Drosophila melanogaster: one gene and its partners. The protein of the gene in region 2 interacts with the protein of the main gene of each other region in a biochemical or structural test. Each region holds a gene or a part of one and is shown on either strand. Other genes may lie near its edges.

Region 1 (6,768 bases), 4.0 Mb from region 2:
GAGATCCGTCGTTACCAGAAGTCGACCGAGTTGCTCATCCGCAAGCTGCCCTTCCAGCGTCTGGTTCGTGAAATCGCTCAGGATTTCAAGACCGATCTGCGTTTCCAGTCGGCTGCCATCGGTGCCTTGCAGGTGAGAATTATGCTCCAAAGAATCAGAGTGGCTTAACTTAACTAAAAATGACAGGATTCATGGGATTATGAAGGGGGGGCTACTAATATCTAAAAGGAACTTGGTTATCCAACTCATATGAATTTCTCTTGACTTACAGGAAGCATCTGAGGCGTACCTGGTGGGTCTCTTCGAGGACACCAACTTGTGCGCTATCCACGCCAAGCGCGTGACAATCATGCCTAAGGACATCCAGTTGGCGCGCCGCATCCGTGGCGAGCGTGCTTAAGGTGGATCAGCAGGAACGCCAGATTCGATCACTGTCGTCCATTCCCGAACAGTAGACCATTCACGTACCGTTGTAGGAGAGGTGCACGCCAAGGAGCTATACCAGCGACACATTGATCCAATCTATCATTCATATTTACATGTATACATTTATCATCCTTTTGTTGTTCAATCGAATCGTCAGCATGACGTTGTCGATAAGAAAAACACCACACACAAAACAACACACAACATTACTGTAATGCTTAAAAATTATTTTATAACTCTTATTATTACTATTATCAATTAGTTTTTAAGTTTTTTTTCTCGCCTGTGCGTCGTCGGTGTCACCGTGTACGTTGCGCCGTGCTCCTTCTTCTCCAAATCCGGGTCCACCTCTTCGTTTTGGAAGGAGGGAATACCACCGGGCGGCCGTTGTCGCCTGTCCGCCTGCAACATCCGCCACCAACCACTCCAACAACTGTCCAGCTGGCGGGCTTCGGTTTCCAGGTAATCCGTGATCTTTAAGGCGCCTGCCTCGCCTTTATCGCTTCGATCGAGGAGAGGTTCACCATCTGGCTGCCGGGATGTGCGGAGCCTGGAGATCGGGGCCAATCTAACGTCGGCTGGACGTGGCAAGGCGGACAGACGGTTGCGGACCGCCTGGCGGTGATTCCCGGATCTCTGGATGGGCGGCGAGGGCATGGCCGTCTGGCGATGCCACTGACGGCACGCGGCTTTTATGAAGATAATATCCATATATAACACCGAAGACCGAATCGAGTACACTTAACTTTACACTTACGTATATGCATATATATACATAAATACATATATATATAAATATATATATATATATAAATATAAATATAAACCTATGCGGAAGGAAAAGAACTAGATATTAATACTCTTTCTTCTGTTCACTTTTCGTTACTGCAAATCATAATCAGAGCATTATATATATATATATATAGAAGTTATATATATATATATACACATAACGAAGGGATGGGCGTGACAGAGTTAGTTGATTAAATAAGATTTTAGATTTACATGCATTTTATACGTTTAGGCGGACGATAGAAGATGATTCTTCTTCGGGAGATGAAAAAAAGATATAAAGATGATTCAGCAATCAGATTAACTTACACATCTATAGATTTGGAAGAGCATCGAATAAAAATAACCAAGACAGAAATCACATAACAATACAAAATAAAAGCAAAAGCGCCGAGCAGAGCATTGAATATTTCCCAATATTTATATGTAGTTTGAAACACATGCAAAATAATCAATTGTAAACGCCCATAAAACATGCATATATATATATATAAATATACATATAGCTGTAAATTGGTGTCGATAACTAGTTTCACATTGAACATTTAAACAAATCGGACTAAATATGTGTCTATTCGTATCGTCGTAGCTTACAAGAACCAATATGAAAACAGAAAACAAAAAACGAATCCCCCACAAAACACAAAAACAATTTACAACAACAAATCAGTGACAGCAACAGCAAAAATAACTGGAAACATCAGCAAAAAAAAAAAAGAAAATAAAAAATAAACGGTTTTTTCTATAGAAGAAACCAAAAAAACCCAACACCAACGAATTGTATTTTCTGCGAAAGCGAGACGGGAATAGTGTGTACGAGCGGGCGGGATAGGTGGCGATGGTACAGTTGACTCCAAAAATCGAAACCAAACGTCATTTGCTTTGTTTACGTGTGTTAATCTCGGTGCGTGCGTGTGTATGTGTGTTACTCTTGCTCGTTTCTGTGTGTGCAAGTTTGGCTGGCTGCAGCTGTATGTGTGTGGGTGGCTTTGGCGCTGCCCCCTTTTTTTTGTTTGTCTTTGATTTGCGTTTTCAAGGCTGCTATTAACTGGCGCCACCTAGCGGTGGTTCTGTGCCACAGGCGCCCAATAAGTGTTAATAAACCCCTTTGTTCGTAAGCTAAGACGCCCAATAGGGGTTAAGGGCTTATCTTTGTAATTAAATGTTGATATTTATAATAATGTACATTGAAGCAATAATTTATTTAATTTAAGTTACCAATGTTTTCCATCTTTTTGTCAGTGTAAATATCGTTATAACTCAAGCATACCCATTTAAATTGCAAATTGAACGCAAAATTTAAACACCTTTCCACTTACATATAATCGTACATTTAATTTATTTGCATATTTAGCATACAGTCCAGAATGCGACGCACACTCAGTTATTAAAATATTAAAATTAGGCTTCGCGAAAAAAAAGTGATATAAACTTAATTTGAGAATGGGATTGATGTGGAGTTCTTAGGTGTGGCGCCTAAATAGGGATTTCAAGTTAAGAGCATTCCGGTTGTTTGCCTTCCGGAAGTTCCGGGAGGGGACAGCTATGTTACAACACCAGGGATCGATTCATATATAAGTTAGGGACCACAACTAGGATCTGGGTGGTGGGATTCCTTGTCTTAGTCCGCCTCGTGCTTCTCCGCCTCTGGATGCTTGCCAGGTGCTGTTGCCGCTGGCGGAGCTACTCCCCCAGCTACTGCGGCCTCGCCCAGCGGTGCTCCTCCAGCTGGTCCAGGTGGTGCTCCTGGTCCCGCTCCTGCCCCGGGCGTGGGATACACTCCGGCTCCGGGCGCCGCTGCTGCTGCCGCTCCAGCTCCACCGCCTGGGGCCCCGGGTCCTCCACCGCTCGGCTCGTGCAGGTGTCCTGGTGGCGGTTGTTGTTGTTGCTGCTGCTGTGGTGGCGGTGGATTGCTTCCATGCTCCGGCGCATACGGATGCCCGGGATTGCCATTGTGCTGCGGCGGCGGCGGACGCGGTGACATGTAGTGCGAGCCAGGTGGCGGGCCATAGGACTGCTGATACGGCGAGAACGGTGCGTAGTAGGGCTGTGGCGTGGGATGTCCGCCGTACTGGGGCTGGTAATAGGGTCGTGCTGGTCCACCGGGTGGTCCAGGCGGCGGGCCATGTGGTGGTCCGCCGTAGTTAGCATAACCCGTGTGCGGAGGTGGCGGCGGCAGACCGGGCATTCCCGGCGGCGGCTGATGCGGCCCCATGTGCGGTGGCATCAAGGAATGTCCGGGTGGCGGATGGCCGGGATGTGGATGCATCTGCGGCATGCCGGGCGGTGGAGCTGGCCCGCCCTGTTGCTGCGGCAGTGGCACCTGTTGTGGCACCGGCGGTGGCGTTGGTGTCGTCGTCGTTGTTGTGGTCGCTGCAGTAGCTGCTCCGGCCGCTGGAGCCACCTCAGGCGGCGGTGTGGGTGTCGGCACCGGTGTGGGCACCTTGCCGGGCTGGGCCACCACTTTGGCGGGTTCCGTTTTGGGTGGCTCGACTAGCGTTGACTGCGGAGGCAGGGCAGCGGCCATCTCCAGCTTCTCTGGCTTGATGGGTGGCGGCGGAACCGATGGCTTCGGCGGTGGCTCAATGTCCATGGGCTCGGGATCCGTTTTGCTGGCAGTTTCGTGCACGTGCACCGCTGGCGCCGGCGTAGGCGTTGAACTCGGTGTGGGATTGAGTGTAGCGGGCTTCACAGCCGGCGGTGTCTCCTTGGGCGGAGCTGCTGGCGCTGGTACCGCCGACGCCGGCTCTTGGCCAGCGGGTGTGGCAGCGGGCTGACCTGGCTGCGTTGGCGGCTTCACTGCCTCCTCGCTCCTCGTCACTGGAGCGGCGGCAGCTGTAGCGGCAGCTGCAGCAGGATTCGCTGCGCTATTCGCATTCGCATTCGGTTCATCCAATCGCTGGCGATCGCGCTTGATGTCCTCGTACATGCGAAGCACCATCTTCTGGAAAGTTTCCTCGTCGACCGCCGGCTTGCAGTGGCGCTTTAGCTCCTCCTGGAAGGCTTCGCTGGACTCCACCATGCGCTGCTTCTTGGCCTCGAACTTCTCCTCCATCTGCTGCAGTTCCGCCTCAAGTTTGGTCTGGTGCATCGTCAACGAGCTGACCTGCCGCTTGAGCACCTGCATCCGCGTGGTGGTCACCACTGAACGCACATCTGGTACAACGGCCTCCGAGAATATCTCGTTAATCAGGCGATGGTTGTGCAGATAGCGGGCGTAGGCCAAGTGCTTGGTCGTATACCCTTCGTCCTGGTCATCCTCGTCCTCCGCCGGCTGAATGTCGATGCGTCGCTCATGCTGCGACTTACTGCCGCCACCGCGTGACGGTGTCTCATGCATATCCACGTCGGTCTTCACCTTGCTCTTGGCCGACATGTAGGCCTGATAGGCGGGCGTCTGGTGGTAGGCCTTTAGCGATTTCTCGTACTCCAGCTTCTCCGCCTCGTATTCGTCAATGAACTCCGTCTTCTCATCCTCGGGCAGCAACTTCCACATGGCACCGATCTTCTTACCCAGCTCCCACAGCTTCAGCTCTGGATGCTTCGCCTTGACGCTATCCCAGACGCGTTTCGAATACCGCATGTAGGGCAAAATGGGCTTCTCCGGCGGCTTTGGTGGCTTGGGTAGCCTTGATTCGTTCTGGTTCTTGCTGCTCGACGACTTGGTTACCTTCTGTGGCGTGAATGCCGGATTCCCATAGTTGCTGTGCGTGAAGATGGGCGTCTGATCCTTGTTGCGATCGCCACCACCTCCGCCGCCGGATGAACGCGACCGGCTGCCGCCGCCGGAGCCACCGCCGCCGCCCTGGAGTGGTGTGGCCGATCCCTGGCCGCCAACGGCTATCTGCTTGTAGTTGCTTGGCAGGGCCATCTTTGTGCAATTCGCTGGTCAAATTTGTATGGATTTTCCAAGAGAAATAACAATTTTCAGACAGACGCCATTTTCTGTCGGCGTTGGTGGAGGTGTGGCCGTATCTGATTCTAAGAAAAATCATATAAGCCGGGAATTGGTATATATAGCGGAATATATATGATAAGGAAATAGTAACTGCTAGAGAATATACAAAATTTTAGTTACCTAAAACTAGCAGAACACTTTAGCTGAATTGCTGCTACTAATAAAAAAAATCTGTAACTTCTCATTTTTATTCAGCTTTATAGAAATCAAAAATTATACCACACTAGAATCTAGAAAATACCAACGGCAAATCATTTTCCATTAAGTTGGCAGCCCCGCAACTGGGATTTGTAAAATATAAACAAATCGTAAACAACTAAAAAATGTTTGCCGGTCGTTTGATGGTCCGTTCGATCGTTGGTCGGGCATGCTTGGCCACCATGGGCAGGTGGTCAAAGCCCCAAGCACACGCCAGCCAAGTGATCCTGCCCAGCACACCAGCGATAGCCGCAGTTGCTATTCAATGCGAGGAATTCACTGCCAACCGGCGATTGTTTAGCAGTCAAATTGAGACGGAATCCACATTGGACGGCGCCACCTACGAGCGTGTGTGCTCCGACACCCTGGACGCACTGTGCGACTACTTCGAGGAGCTGACGGAGAACGCCTCCGAGCTGCAGGGCACGGATGTGGCTTACAGCGTAGGTGACATTCGGCTATTACATCATTCCATTGACCTGCTAATCCTCGCGGGGTTTCCGCTTCCACAGGATGGCGTGCTAACCGTGAACCTGGGAGGACAACACGGCACCTATGTGATCAACCGGCAGACGCCCAACAAGCAGATCTGGCTCAGTTCGCCCACCAGCGGTCCCAAGCGATACGATTTCGTCGGCACTGTGGCGGCGGGCAGATGGATCTACAAGCACAGTGGTCAGTCGCTGCACGAACTGTTGCAGCAGGAGATACCCGGCATACTGAAGTCACAGTCCGTGGACTTCCTACGCCTGCCCTACTGTAGTTAATTCCGTGATTAGTTTAAATTCTCCTCCATAAAAAGTCGGTTGAAACGTTCGATTTTGATATATTTATTGTTCTTCATCTGTTGGCACAGTGGTCACTCGATATACATGGAACTGCTGCTGCTGCGGATGAGCAAAGGTATATACTTATACTTCCCTGGAGCTGTGAAGCTTAGCTTCTGGTATAAATGCTTTGCATTCGCTTATTCATTTATGTACGATTAGTTTTGGTTTCGAAGTTTAAATTTGTTGTTTTTGAGAGGAATAAACTTAAAAATCAGTTGTTTAATGTATAAATCAAATAATAATAATCAAATCACCATTGAAGAACATCATATGTAGCTATACATATTTTATTTTATTTTATTATTTGTCACTTGTACGTTCCATTTCGTTTATTTTTATTTCAATACACAGAATTCAGAACTCAAAGCTCCCCCAGCTAATAATTCCAAACGAAAGTCGATTAAAGTTGATTTCCGGAATTATTGTGTATGTTTATTCACGTGCTCTTCAGATTTATGTTTTCTGAATTCTATTGTTGTTCGGTGTTTTATAAACAAATGAAGGTAGTGATTATTTTCTTTTCTTTTTTTTGGCAGCAGCACACATGTATGGTAAAAAAAAAAA
Region 2 (6,307 bases):
GGAGATTCCGAGAAAGGTGCAGCAGCCGCTGTCCAGGAGAAAGAAAAGAAGAAAGCCTCCACCACTGGACGTCCCAGCACCCACATCCGATCGAATGTTTACGTCACCCTGCTCAACGATCTCTATTCCGTTTCGCAAGCGGATGTCCCACCTGAAATGGCCCCCTTGATACGTGTCAATCGCAATCAACAGATCTTGCCCATCCTGCAGACTGATACATTTAATACGCGGCTAAAGGATCTAGTGCCCGTCACCCGCAATACCACCGAATTCACATTCAGCTTCCACTACAAGCCCGTGGGCGTGGGCAAGCTCCGTCTAATGCTGCTCATGGAACACGCCACCCAGGCGCTGCTCACCATTGGATTTGCTACCAAGGATATTGACGAGGTGAAAGGCATCTTTTCGGACACCAATGTATACCTTTTGTGTGGCACCATCTTTGTGTCCAGCATCCATGTGAGTAGAGATTGAAAAATTGCAACATACGTCATATGCTCCAGTCCTATAACTAATTTATGTTTCCCTTTTCCCGCAGATGCTCTTCGACTTTTTAAGCTTTAAGAACGACGTGGCCTTTTGGCGCAAAAAGCAGTCGTACGAGGGGCTATCAAGCCGCACCACAATGTGGCGAGCGTTTTCGCAGATCGTGATCTTTTTTTATCTGCTAGATGAGAATACGTCGTATCTGGTACTTGTGCCAGTTGGCCTGGGCACGCTCATTGAGCTGTGGAAGTGCAAGAAAATCTTCCGTCTGGAGCTTAGCTTCAGTGGCCTGGTTCGTCGCAAGCTGGAGCAAGTTGACCGGCGGAATGGTGACCAAGCTGGCGTGAAGTCAGGTCAGCTGGCGGAGGAGCAGAAGACTGATCAGTTTGACAGACAGGGCATGCGATATCTGAGCTATCTGCTGTATCCGCTTTGTATATGCGGAGCGGTCTATTCGCTCCTCTACCAACCACACCGCTCCTGGTACTCATGGACACTTAACTCACTGGTGAACGGAGTTTACGCCTTCGGTTTCCTGTTCATGTTGCCGCAACTGTTTGTAAACTACAAGCTGAAGTCTGTGGCCGCATTGCCGTGGCGCGCATTTATGTATAAAGCATTTAATACCTTCATCGACGACTTCTTCGCCTTCATCATCACCATGCCCACGGCCCATCGGGTGGCCTGCCTGCGCGATGATATTGTGTTTATTATCTATCTGTATCAGCGCTGGCTGTATCCGGTTGACAAGAGTCGGCTGGACACGGGTCTGTCCATTAGCGAGACCCCGGATACGGGCAACAGCTCATCCGCTTCCATTGCTGCCAATCGCAAGAAGCGAAATTGATCCTATATCAGCAAAAGGAGTAAAGGTTGCACATTCCGCCTATAGCTTGAGGTCTAGCCCGAGACGTAGTAATCCGAGTCCGTCTTTAGTTTACTAGTGATATTAATCCTGTGTTGTAGTCTAAACCGTTTAAAGCTTGTGCGTAAATCGTTAAGTTAAGAAGCATCAACTGAAAATGCGTTTTATACAATTTTAAATCAACAGCATCAAAGGATTGCAGAACTATGGAACTTACTAAAACACATAATTTTAAAGTATAAATTATGAAATATTGTGAGATGACTCAAACGCTGGCCTTTCACATTGTTAGATTGGTCAGCTAAAACCCTACAATAATATATCCAAATGTAGATCAAAACGTATTTTAGAAACAATCAGTTAACATGAAATCGTATAGGATCGTAAGGCTACAAGTGATTCTAAAATCTCAATTAACCAACAAATGCATTTTCTAAAATTTAAAGGGAACCCAAAAGTATCAAAAGGCTAAATATATATAAAGTCAACTGAAATCACTCGTAATAAAAATTAAACTTTAGTGTTTCTAAAAGTGAACCGAATCAAATTTTATAGACAGTTTTATATTTGTATGCCATTTTATTAGCTTACAGTTAAGTCCAATATTTGTGCTGGATGTGGGTATTTGGGACAACTGCAAAGGGGATTTTCGTTTTGGAACGGGATGGAGTTCGGCTTGTCGGAAAAAAAGGAAATATTTTAAGCTTAAACTAAACTGGCGAAGGAAAAAGAGTTTGCCGTGCGCACGGTTTATGGAGGTCTCTTGACGGTGGACTCCACGAATTGGCTGGTGGAGATGATCAGCTCATCATTCACCTAGCCGTTGCGTATGCCCAGCGCCTGCTCCAATTCGGCCCGCTTCTGGTTGACCTTGGTGAAGAAGTAGCGCGAAACGGCCTCGTGCGTCCATGGCTGGTAATAGAACTCCGCCCGACGCTCCTCCTCCGGATTGCCAGCTACATCGGTCATCAGCTGAAAGGACGAAAGGTTTAGACAACGGTATGAGGCAAAAAAGAAAAAAAAAGAACTAACCTTCAAATCCCTCGTCTCACTGATGATCCAGCGATGAATAAACATTTGTGGATCCTTGGCGAAGCTTAGGAAGAACTCCCTGTTCGTCTTCATCTGGTTGATCGTGTCCACCGTCTCGTGGATCTTGGTGTCCAGCCCCTGGATCTCCTGTTGGCTCGCAGTGCTCATCAGGAAGCTGTTCATCTGGTTTTTGAGCGTATCATCCACCTCCACATCGATGTCGTAGCAGGCAGTCTGCTTGTTCTCTGCACCGCTCTCAATGAAATGATTGATCACAATCGGATCGGGCGGATGCAGCAGCGGATTGAGGCGTTGCGGTATCTCGGCAAACTTCATCCGCTGGCAACTGAATATCTGCTCCAGATACTTGTCGCAATTGATGTACTCCCGCTCGTGGGCATCCTGTAGCTTGTGCGTCTTGATGTACTGCCACAGGGCGGATATGATCACCGGCCTGGTCTGTGTGTGTACGCCCAGCAACCTGGCGAGTCGCGGGTCCAGCTTGAACTGCAGCGGCTGGTAGTCAAGCAGCAGGAGGATGGTGCAGCGCACATTGCGATCGCCCGGCCGCTTCACCTGGAACCCGTCCGTCTCCTGGGTGGTGTGAGTGCGATGCCACTCGACCAGATGGTTGTCCGGACCGTACAGTTCCTTATCCAGCTCGATAACCAGCGACTTGAAAAACGACGAAAACTTGCGTTTGATCTTTGTATTGGGATCGCCCTTGCCATCCTCTAACAGGCGACCCTCCACCCGCAATTCCCAAGAGGCAACGGCGCCCTCCTCGCCATCATTTGTGGGCTCCTTGCTGGGATAGAATGTGTTCGAGATGAAGATGCGCAGCTTGCGCTTCTGCTTCATGGGGCGCTTGAGGGCCTCCTGGATGTCCAGACGTTTGCGCATTATGGTGGCATCCAGTTTTCGCTCAAACGTCAGCAGATCCATGTACGCTTGCGATTCGGGCACCAGATCCCGCACCTTCTGCGGCAGTATCTTTTCGGCCAGCTTCTTTTTCTTTTTGGCCGTCGCAAAATCACTTTTGCTACCACCGCCACCCAAACTGCGGGATTCATTTGACCTCTTGCTGCCTCCGCCGGATCCAACACCGCCACCTCCGGCTCCAGTACCGCGAAGGCTGCTCTGAAAGCCCGGCTGTTGGGCGGCGCGCTGCAGTAGCGATGGTCCCGGTACGCCGGGTACTCCAGGAACTCCCGGTACCCCGGCCACGTTCGCCGTGCCGGGAACAGGTTGAGTAGTGTTCGGATGCAGGGGAAACCCGCGCGGCTGTTGCGGATAAGATTGTACATGCTTAATTGAAACGGTAGGTGCTGGATAATGCGTGGAAAACTCACTGGAAAAGAGGCGCCTGGCGGCGGATAGGGACGCATGCCGGGCGCCGGTGGTGGTGGCTGATAACGCGACTGCACCGGCGCTTGGCCAGGTGCAAAGCGTTGCGACATCTTTGCTACGAAGTCCTCCCTTTTTTCCAGCCGTAAACAATTGCCCTTTGCAGACGAAGGAAAATTTCTGCCTTTTTGTTTCAATACAACAACGCGTCAAACACACACACAATTTCGCCTGTAAAATGGCGTCAAAACAGGGATGCACTATTACTGGTGGTGGTCGACTGGGCGATAGATATTACAACGTTTGGCAGGGCTGCGGCTATCATTTTGCACTTTAATCGAAGTTATTCATTTCAATAGAGTTACAGCTATATAGTTGGCTTTGAAAATATACTTAAAAACTTTCAAGACATTTGTAACAAACAAACAATACGATAAGGAATATACTAGCACTTGCTACTATCGATCGAAAACATTGGTTTGCCCAAACGCTCGATAGTTGCAGTGTCAAGCCATAAACATAAGCAATATCGATAGTCGCCAATAAGTTCGGACAAGTAACGTCTTCTGAAATCGAAGAACGATAGGTTTGAAACCGACTGTCATTTTAACACAGAAAACAAATGGAAATGGAAGACAATTGGTGGGTCACCAAGTTAAAGGCTCTGGAGTCGAAGCCACAAAGGCTGGATGCGCTGACCGCCATGAACTCAGCCATCGCAAAGGAGGCGGCTCTTCCGCGTCAAATAATTGAACGCCTGCTGACCACGGACCAATTGTATGACTGCGCCAATCCCGCCGCGGATTCCCATGTTCCCAAGGATCAGGCCGTGGACGTGACCCTGGAATTGCTGTGCCACTGCCTTGATCAGCTGGCGATGGACACCGCCGACGAGCAGCTGTCCAGTCTGCTAAGACGTGGCTTGACCCACTCGAATCCAGCCTTGCGTGCCCAGGTGTTGGCCAGTTTGTTCAAGAAGCTGCTTCGCCAGTTGACCGTCGGTCAGGTTCTCACCCTGCCCAACAATGAGCTTATTTTCCTCATCTTGGACGAGCTGAAACAACCGGATACGCAGAGTACCTCTCTGGCCATCAATATCCTATCCATCGTGCTGCCTCAGCGAATCAGCAATGCCGATGTGCAGGCAAAGCTAGTACAGCTCCTAAAGCAAAATGAGATCGTGCGCTGTCGCGCCTACGAATTGGCAGTGGTCCTGGCCAAGAAAAGTGCCACCTTACTCAGTGACGTTACATTTATTCTGGATGCGGCTCTCAGCGAACTGGATAACGACGATGTTTTATTGCAGGCTAGCGTAATGGAGCTCCTAGTGCCACTGGCCGAACAAAACCATGGTCTGTCCTACATGGAACGTCGTCGCGTTTTGGATATAATCAGCTATCGGGTCCAACGCGTCGAAGAGCATCCGCTAGACGCCCTGCTCGTTCCCAGCATTATGAAGTTTTTCGGCAAAATTTCCGTATACCAGCCTCTGAAAATCATTGGCGGCTACCCGCACATGCTGGCCTGCTTGTTCATGCAGCTTCAATCGGAGGATGAGAGTATTCTGCCCACTGCCATGGATACGCTTGCCAATTTGGCCACTACTCCACAGGGCAAGATACTGCTGAACATGCACTTTAGCGGGGCCATGGAGAAGTCCTTTAAGAAGTATGGCTCGCATACTAAGAAGCTATCGGCGCACATCAAGAAGAGGCTGCTCAACTCCCTGGATGTGATTTATGACTTCAAGACGCCGCCTGCCACAGAAATCATGTAATGCTTAACTCTATAATTGAAGTTTTTCTTCTAATGATTCTCTTCTTTTTCAGTAACATTGGTAAAAACTGGTACGAGTGCTTCGCTGGGGGAGCGCATGCTAATATCATTATGGACCTGATAAACACTCCGTTCCCCGATCTTCAAATGGCCGCCTTGTCGTTCTTGAAAACCATTTGTAAGTACAACTGGGGCATTGTAGCTCTAAAGAATACCGGCGGTGCTGTGGAGTTCCTTCTTTCGCGTCAAAAGGATCTGCACAGGGACATTAAGTATATGAAGTGGCAAATTATGGAGATTCTGTCCGCTAGCGCTGAGTTTTCGCCCACCGAAACCATCCGTTTCACGGCCTATGTGAACGAGGGACCCTATCACGTCCAGGCGGATCTCGATGTAGCCACTGAACCTCAGGGCAACGCATAGAAAGCCGGATGGCAGGCATTTGCGGCCTTCGATTGCAAGTCCTATGTTCAAAAGCTTCAATTAACATCTGAATATGTATTTATAAAATTAAAATTTGATTTAACTATTAGATCACATGTAACAATATCCCATTGGGCAGGTCGAATAAATGGGGATGCAACAAATAGTTAGGATATTCTTTGGACAGTTGTAAGAGGTTTGCCTTAAAACGATTGGTAAAATAAATAATATACAAAAAAGAAACTTAAATAGCTGGAATCTCTTGTCTAAGGTTTATGTTATCATATCCTCAAATGTTATAAGTAATTTAAAATTGATATTAGAATAAGTATCAATAAGTACGTATAATACCAATAGTCTAAGGGACCAATTACATGG
Region 3 (6,914 bases), on a different chromosome or scaffold from region 2:
TTGGATAGCAGCGCTTCTAGACTCTTTTTCAGCCTTTTTTTTTTATTTCGCACTAGCTACCTACACATAGAGACACACCAACACTGAGCCATAAACAAAAGCTCTCGAAGGTCGCATCACATCGCATCGCATCGCACCGCATCGCACACGTCTAACCCTAGCGGATCGCTTTGATTTGTGTGCTCACACATAGATTTGTTTATATTTCTCTGTCTAATCGTCGACATAAAAGTTCGTTGACTCCCATTCCGAGACATCGCATCTACATCCGCACCACACCACACCAAACCAAACCATTCATGAAGTACAAAAACAATCGATCCTACTGCAGTGACATCAAATATGCCAGAAGCAGGCAGACCGATGACTACATAGACACGGAATCGGGCCACAAATATGAGTTTGTTGGGCTGCGGCGGGTTAGCCCCCTAACTACCACACTACCCCACTAATAAAACAATTAACCGGTTTCCGTTTAATTCAAAACGTGAAAAAATCATATCACGTGCTTCTCCATTGGGGCCAACAAACCAAGCAAACCAAACCAAACACCAACTTCAAGCGCATTATCGCTTGACACAACTGATAGGCAAATTCTTGATATCAGGGATTACAAAGAGTAAAACACAAAACGAACTGTGAAAAAAATCTACAGGTACTACAAGTTCATAACCAACCAAAAACATTATATTTCTGTTTATCCATTAAAACGTATAAGGTGTGGGTTGTGGGTCGGTGTGTCCATTAGTTAAATTGTATAGGATTGTATGTTTTCACACGAGCGACTTTTTACGGTATCTTTATGTTCCGTATAACACTTTTTTACATTCGCTTTTAATACTATGGAGTTATATCGACTGATAAAAATGGCTTGACTCATTACTATATTACTGTTTGATATATGTTTTTTGTTGTCTATAATTATAGTCATGTCAAGAAAACAGTAAGAAATAACTACTTCATTAACTGTGTAACAAACCCCTTTCCATCTTTTGCAAGTTTTGAGTAGTAGTATCCACTTCTTTCTTTTAACGTTTAACACTAACAATGCAATGATAAGCTTTAAAATTATTCCAATCAGACACGAGGCCAACAGGCCGTCGATAATGTTGACATGAAGGGGACAGGAAACCCTAAAAACCCTAAAGAATGTGAATGAATACCTCAACATTTTTGTGTACGAAACTCTTTCTTGTTATTCCGCTGCTTCTTCTTCTTTGTCTTCTTATTTTACCGTTGCGGTGCGGCCTTTTGTTGTTATTGTTTTGCGGCGGCAAGTGCCGGTTCTCTGCTGTCCGTCTCCCTCACTCTCACCCGGCTTCGCCCAGTAACAACAACTAAAGCACAACAACACCCGGCACTTAAACAGCGAATTTTCAAGGGGATGGGGGTATCTACAGGAGGAGGAGGAGCAGGGAACTAAGTGGGAGGGGCGGGCGAAAAAGGCGCGGAATCTGAGTACAATGTTTTTACGTTATGTGTGTCAGTGTGTCTGCCGCTTCTGCCCCTTTTTTATATTCTTTCCTTCGAGTGGGACTTGGCAAATCCTCAGTGAACTGAATGAAGTGCGACCAAGACGAAACCCTAAAAAGTAACAGTAAATATTGCAGCCTCCCTCCCACGCACACACACATACACACACACTCCCAAACGAATACATGTGCACAAAACGTGACGAGCCCCTCTCCATGGAATGAGTGGGCAGTGGGTGTGTGGAGTGCGGTGGGGTAGGAGATTGGGGGAGGGAGATAGCTAGCACAAAGCCACCAGCGACAACCGCACCAACAACAGCATGAAACACATGCCGTGGAGGCCTGCACATGGAAATACTCCAGTAAGTAAGTGTGTGTGGGTTTGGGGTCGATGGAATCAAAATCAGTGTCAATGTCAAGACAGCTCTAAAATAAAAAAAAAATACATAAGGAAACCCCTGGCGATAAGATTCTTGGTATTCAGTCTTTAAGAGGTTGCCTTTAGGCACAATGACACCATTTCTGGTGCAACAACTAGATCATTTAATATTCTTTTCGGAAAATGGTTATTTTGTTACAGAATACACAACATTTATTGTGTCCTTTTCATTAAGTTTCTATCCTGGAAGGCGTTTAAGCTACCATCCAGTTTTTCGTTACTTTAAAGCCGAAGGTTGCCCCCGCAATATTGAGAATAAATATGAAATAAGATACTATAACTTGAAAAGACAACCGCATTTTCTATTTTCGGAAGCTGTGAATTAAAACGAATCATAAAAACACTGCTTTTGGTAAATACTTCAAGGCATTCCTAAACAACGTATTACACCGGAACAAAGTATTTACAACTATTTCAAGTTCGGAGACTATTTAAGCCGAATACTCTTGACTTTTAGATGTATCTTCCACAATATCTTGTATCTACAGAACTTTCAAACATTTTTATGGACTTGCAATGATTTCTCGTGAACGCAACTAAATATACCTTTCAATTTACAACTTTTCTATCCCAAAAAAGCATGTTATCCTTGTTATCCCCAAATATCCCCTTTTTGATCACTTACCGGTGGTGGTGTCCTGTACTGCTGTGACGGTCCCAGTTGCGGACTGTAGGGCCTTGGTGGCGGTGCCCAGCCGCCCTGTTGCCCTCCGTACGGCGATGGCTGGTGCTGCGGTGGCGGCGGTCCATGTCCTGGTGGAGGGGGTCCACCGGCCTGCTGTTGCTGAGCCGCCGCTGCCGCTGCCGCCGAAGCGGCCGCCTGCTGGGGATCGTAGGTGTTGGCGTAGCGATGCTGCGGCGGAGGCGGCGGATTCGAGGACTGAAGCAGAGAGTTTAACGTTGGCGTGGGTCCCTGCGGAGGCTGACCGGGTATGTAGCGCTGCTGGGGCGGACGATTAGGTGAGCCACCGGGCCCCGGTTGCTGCGGGGGTTGCTGTTGAGGATGTGGCTGTTGTTGTTGTGGAGGCTTTCCACCTGGCAGCGGCTGGCCATAGCGATATGGATCCATGTTGGGATCGGCGTGGTAGCGACCATACGCCGGATGTGGATGAGGCGGCGGCAAGTGAGTGTACTCCTCCTTGACACCGGGCGCATGCTCAGGTGCTCCTCCGGGCGGTGGTGGTGCAGGTCCGCCGTGGTGCTGCTGTTGCTGCATATGGGGTGGTGGCGGATGCTGCTGTTGCTGCTGGTGCAGATGATGATAGTGCATGACTGCAGCTGGGTCCGGTCCTGGTGGTCCTCCAGGACCAGATCCTGGGGGCGGTGGTGCGCCGTATGGATGTGGGGCAACATTTTGTTGTTGCTGCTGGATGCTGGGATCGCTACCGTTGTTGCTGTTGTTGTTGGGTGTGGGCGGGCCCGAGGTTGGCGGTGTAGCGGCACCAGGAGCCGCTCCAGCCGATGGGGGCGTGGCAGCAGGGGCGGGAGCGCCACCTTGCTGCTGCTGCTGTGTTTGCGGCGACTTTATTTTCTCATTCATGGCTGCTCATCGGCTTCTGGCTGCGCTGCTCCCGATCTCCCAGATTTTCCGGATCGGATTTTCCCAGATGTGTGGCGGCTACTGATGGAACACCGGTAACCACCAACAACAACAACGCTGACGCTGATGATGACGACGACTGCAGCGGCGAGTTTGAGGTTATGTTAGCTGCAAGTTATCAAAAACGGGGGATTAGCATTTGGCAAAGGGGGTCTGGCTTATTAAAGGGGGCAGTCCTATATCACTGGGCCTAAATCGAGCGGGTTAAACATAAATAATTTGTACTCGTTCGTGGGCTGTTGTGTATTGAAAAGTCCGCTACTAACACACGCACACACATGCTCACTCGAACAGGCAGCACCAATACCACAACAATTTATTTTCCGCCGCGTACGGTGGGCAAATCGTAGTGCGTTGACAACCCTGCCGCAACCGCTCTCGCAGTTTGAGCGCATCCACTCTCGTTGGCGCTCTCGCTCTCTCTTTTCACATTTGGCGGCTATACACGCACACGCCGTATCCCTTTCCGTCTCACTTGCACTTGCTCGCCATCCAGGCTGAAGGCATATGGCGCTCTCGCTCGCTCGCTCACTCTCTCCCTTGCTCGCTTTATTAGTTTCTGTGTGAAACGAATGAAACGGGCAGCACAGTAATGATTTTTTCGTAATTATTTTCTATGCCGATTTTTCGCGTTTACACAGCACTGGAATGGAATGGACGAGGGGGCATCATCTCACAATTGTTTAACTTATTTTCTTTTCGTGAGTGGGAGAGAGAGGGGGGCTAACGCTTAAGATTTATAAATAATTGCCGCGCCTGCTTGGCCGCGTTTGTTGCGCGTTCACTTTTGGCCGCTGCCGTTGTCTTGAGAGGCTCTCTTTTTTTGTTCGGCTGCTTGCGTTTTCCTGCGGTTTTTCGCCAAGTGTTTATGAAGATGATGATGATGCAAGGATTCGACATCCAATCATTTGCATATGTATACACACACGCACTCACTCGCACACACACTCACACAGCCTCCAAAGTGCATCGTCGAGAGGAGAGAAACTGAATTTTTCACTCGCCCTCGGGCGAAAGTCCGGCGGCAGATTTGTTGTTGGGCCAAGAAGACTCAATATATATTTTGCGGGGCGCTTTGGTTTTTGGGGCTTTTCTTAACCAGAAATCTACATACACGCACACCACTTACACATAGAAGAATATTCACGCATTGACGACCGTCCACAGACTGGCTATATATACTAAAAACGAACTCGCGTGAGAAGACAGGGACAGGGCAGCAAACTCGGTATACGAACGGAACGAAATGAAACGATTCAAGTAGTAGTGTATGCAAGTCTTGTCTGTCTGCGCCTGGCGTTCTTTTCTCTTCTTTTTTTCGATGGTTTTTCGCCAGGCTGGGCGCTGCCAAAACGCTGATACGGCGGCCACAATCACACGCGGCTAATCGCCAGTTGGGCCCTGCACAGGCTGCACATACTTTTCACTATTAATGCGCTGTATTTCACTTATTTTTCGAACAAATTCGCAGCATGACGAAGAAGCGAGCCTGTACAAGATTAGAGCGGGTAGCACGCACGATAGTATCGATACGTACGAGTATTTGGCACTGCGATACATTATCGGTGCTCGTTTCGATAGCCCCCGATAGCTCTAGCACGAAATTTTATCGCTTTATCCATATTTTATACTATTTTTATTTATTGGACTTCAATGAATATTTATTTTACGTTCTGGTTCGCTTTTTAAATATATATGGTAATCAATAGCTGGCGAATTAGCGATATTTGAGTGTGACGCAAAAATGAGTTGGCATCGATATCGATTTCTCGCTACTCTGGGACGCCATCTTTATTGCGGTATTTTAAACGGAAACTTAACTCAAATTAAACGGCGTGCTAAAATTTTCCATTTTTTTCGAATAAAAGCACGTAAAAGTTTGTGAAGATGTAAAAGTTATAAAAACTAGAAAGCCTTATTCGTGGCCAGCGCTTTCGTTTTAGAAATACGTCAATTTAAAGTTTTTAAGGTAAATTGCAAAATTGCAATAATTGCAATAATATAATAATAATAAAATTTTGGTAAGTTATAAGAGAGTAAATACAATTTTGAAAGTTTATACCCCCGTTAACAAACCACTTGAATTTAGAGTGGCAGAACTATGCAACTACAGCGAGTTTAAACATCGATATATTCGTGATTTTTGGTTTGCTTATTATCGATTCCATACAAAACTACCGGCATAAGCAATTTTAAAATAGACGTAAACAACATCAACGTAATTAATCCACAAAAACAAATTCTTTTATTAATTTTAATTGATGCAATACATTTTAATTTTTGTGAAACTCTAAATATCAATAGTCGCCCTATGCATTGATCATTGTCACAAACATTGTTAAAATTTATTAAATTTATTTTGGTAGAACACTAGGTTTTCGATTTACTGGCTTCCGGATTTTTACTCATAGGTTTTAAAAATATTTTTTGCCAAGGATATCAACTAAAAAAATATTTGTTTATTTTTTTATAATATTAATGAAATTCTATATTGAACATTTTTATTTTTTGAACTGCTTGCACAATTTGCTAATAAGAGAAGTTGCGCTTAACAGTAAAATGTTACTGACATTAACAGCACACGTACGAGAATTACAGTACACTGCTTTCGACTTGCTGTGATATCGAGCATTCCTGGTATCGAGTGCAAAATGGCGGCATTTTAAGTTCAATTTAACACGATTAGGTTGAGCTTGTCGATTCTTTTTTAAGTATAAGCCAACAAATGTTTCATTAAACGCATAATGAGTCGCATTTTATTTATTTTGTTGCTACTTATTGTGACGCAACTGAGCGAGTTGCAGGCGGCAGCATTTTCTGTGCGCCAAAATCGTTTTGATGAAGTTCCTGATTTGCAGACTCCTGCACCTCTGGCCACTTCCACTGAATCTTCTAAGAAACCCGAAAAAGGTTGGTTACATATGTACGTTTAGTGATATAAATTGAATATCTCGGCAATTTCAAAATGGCGTAAAGGGTGAAAGTGTTCTTGTCCGCTCTCTGTGAATATAAGTTACGGTTAATCGCTCTACACTGAAAACAACTGCATAAAAAACTTTCATATTTACATAATTAACAAAATCAAATTTTTGTAAAATTAAATACAATATAATATAAAAGTATAATTGTTTCTTCAATTTTAAAATTATATTTTTATGGTTATTTTTATTTCGTAAATTGTACAAATTTGGTCTTTCTGTGTAGCTACCAGTGGTCTGCTGAAAAAATGCCTTCCCTGCAGCGATGGTATAAGATGCGTGCCCCAAATCCAGTGTCCCGCCCACGTTCGCATGGAAAGCCATGAAAAGCCCCAAATTTGCGATCTCCCGGCTGGAAAATTCGGCTACTGCTGCGAGACTGGACAGAATCACACTGCTCCCAAGCCGGAGACCTCTCCCAAGGA

What was found.
Region 1: the proteins of Bap60 (region 2) and Bap111 form a complex in vitro, tested with the Drosophila melanogaster proteins (one study listed by BioGRID).
Region 3: the proteins of Bap60 (region 2) and osa form a complex in vitro, tested with the Drosophila melanogaster proteins (one study listed by BioGRID).

Annotation. Positions count from the first base shown.
Region 1 is NC_004354.4:9,147,744-9,154,511, reverse strand, and holds Bap111 (brahma associated protein 111kD), read right to left. Parts: upstream 5,204-6,768; 5' UTR 5,090-5,203; coding exon 2,840-5,089; 3' UTR 2,536-2,839; downstream 1-2,535. Other genes in the region: His3.3B (histone H3.3B), read left to right, coding at 1-132, 272-400; fh (frataxin), read left to right, coding at 5,500-5,817, 5,887-6,141.
Region 2 is NC_004354.4:13,155,531-13,161,837, forward strand, and holds Bap60 (brahma associated protein 60kD), read right to left. Parts: upstream 3,979-6,307; 5' UTR 3,844-3,978; coding exon 3,736-3,843; intron 3,668-3,735; coding exon 2,384-3,667; intron 2,324-2,383; coding exon 2,168-2,323; 3' UTR 1,915-2,167; downstream 1-1,914. Other genes in the region: CG4332 (uncharacterized protein), read left to right, coding at 1-459, 539-1,333; CG12096 (uncharacterized protein), read left to right, coding at 4,353-5,503, 5,560-5,929. UniProt on the Drosophila melanogaster protein: Involved in the recruitment and site-specific anchoring of the Brahma complex at specific promoter sites.
Region 3 is NT_033777.3:17,713,316-17,720,229, forward strand, and holds the start of osa (osa), read right to left. Parts: upstream 5,036-6,914; 5' UTR 4,641-5,035; intron 3,620-4,640; 5' UTR 3,452-3,619; coding exon 2,537-3,451; intron 1-2,536. Other genes in the region: Pxt (Peroxinectin-like), read left to right, coding at 6,256-6,421, 6,716-6,914. UniProt on the Drosophila melanogaster protein: Trithorax group (trxG) protein required for embryonic segmentation, development of the notum and wing margin, and photoreceptor differentiation. Required for the activation of genes such as Antp, Ubx and Eve.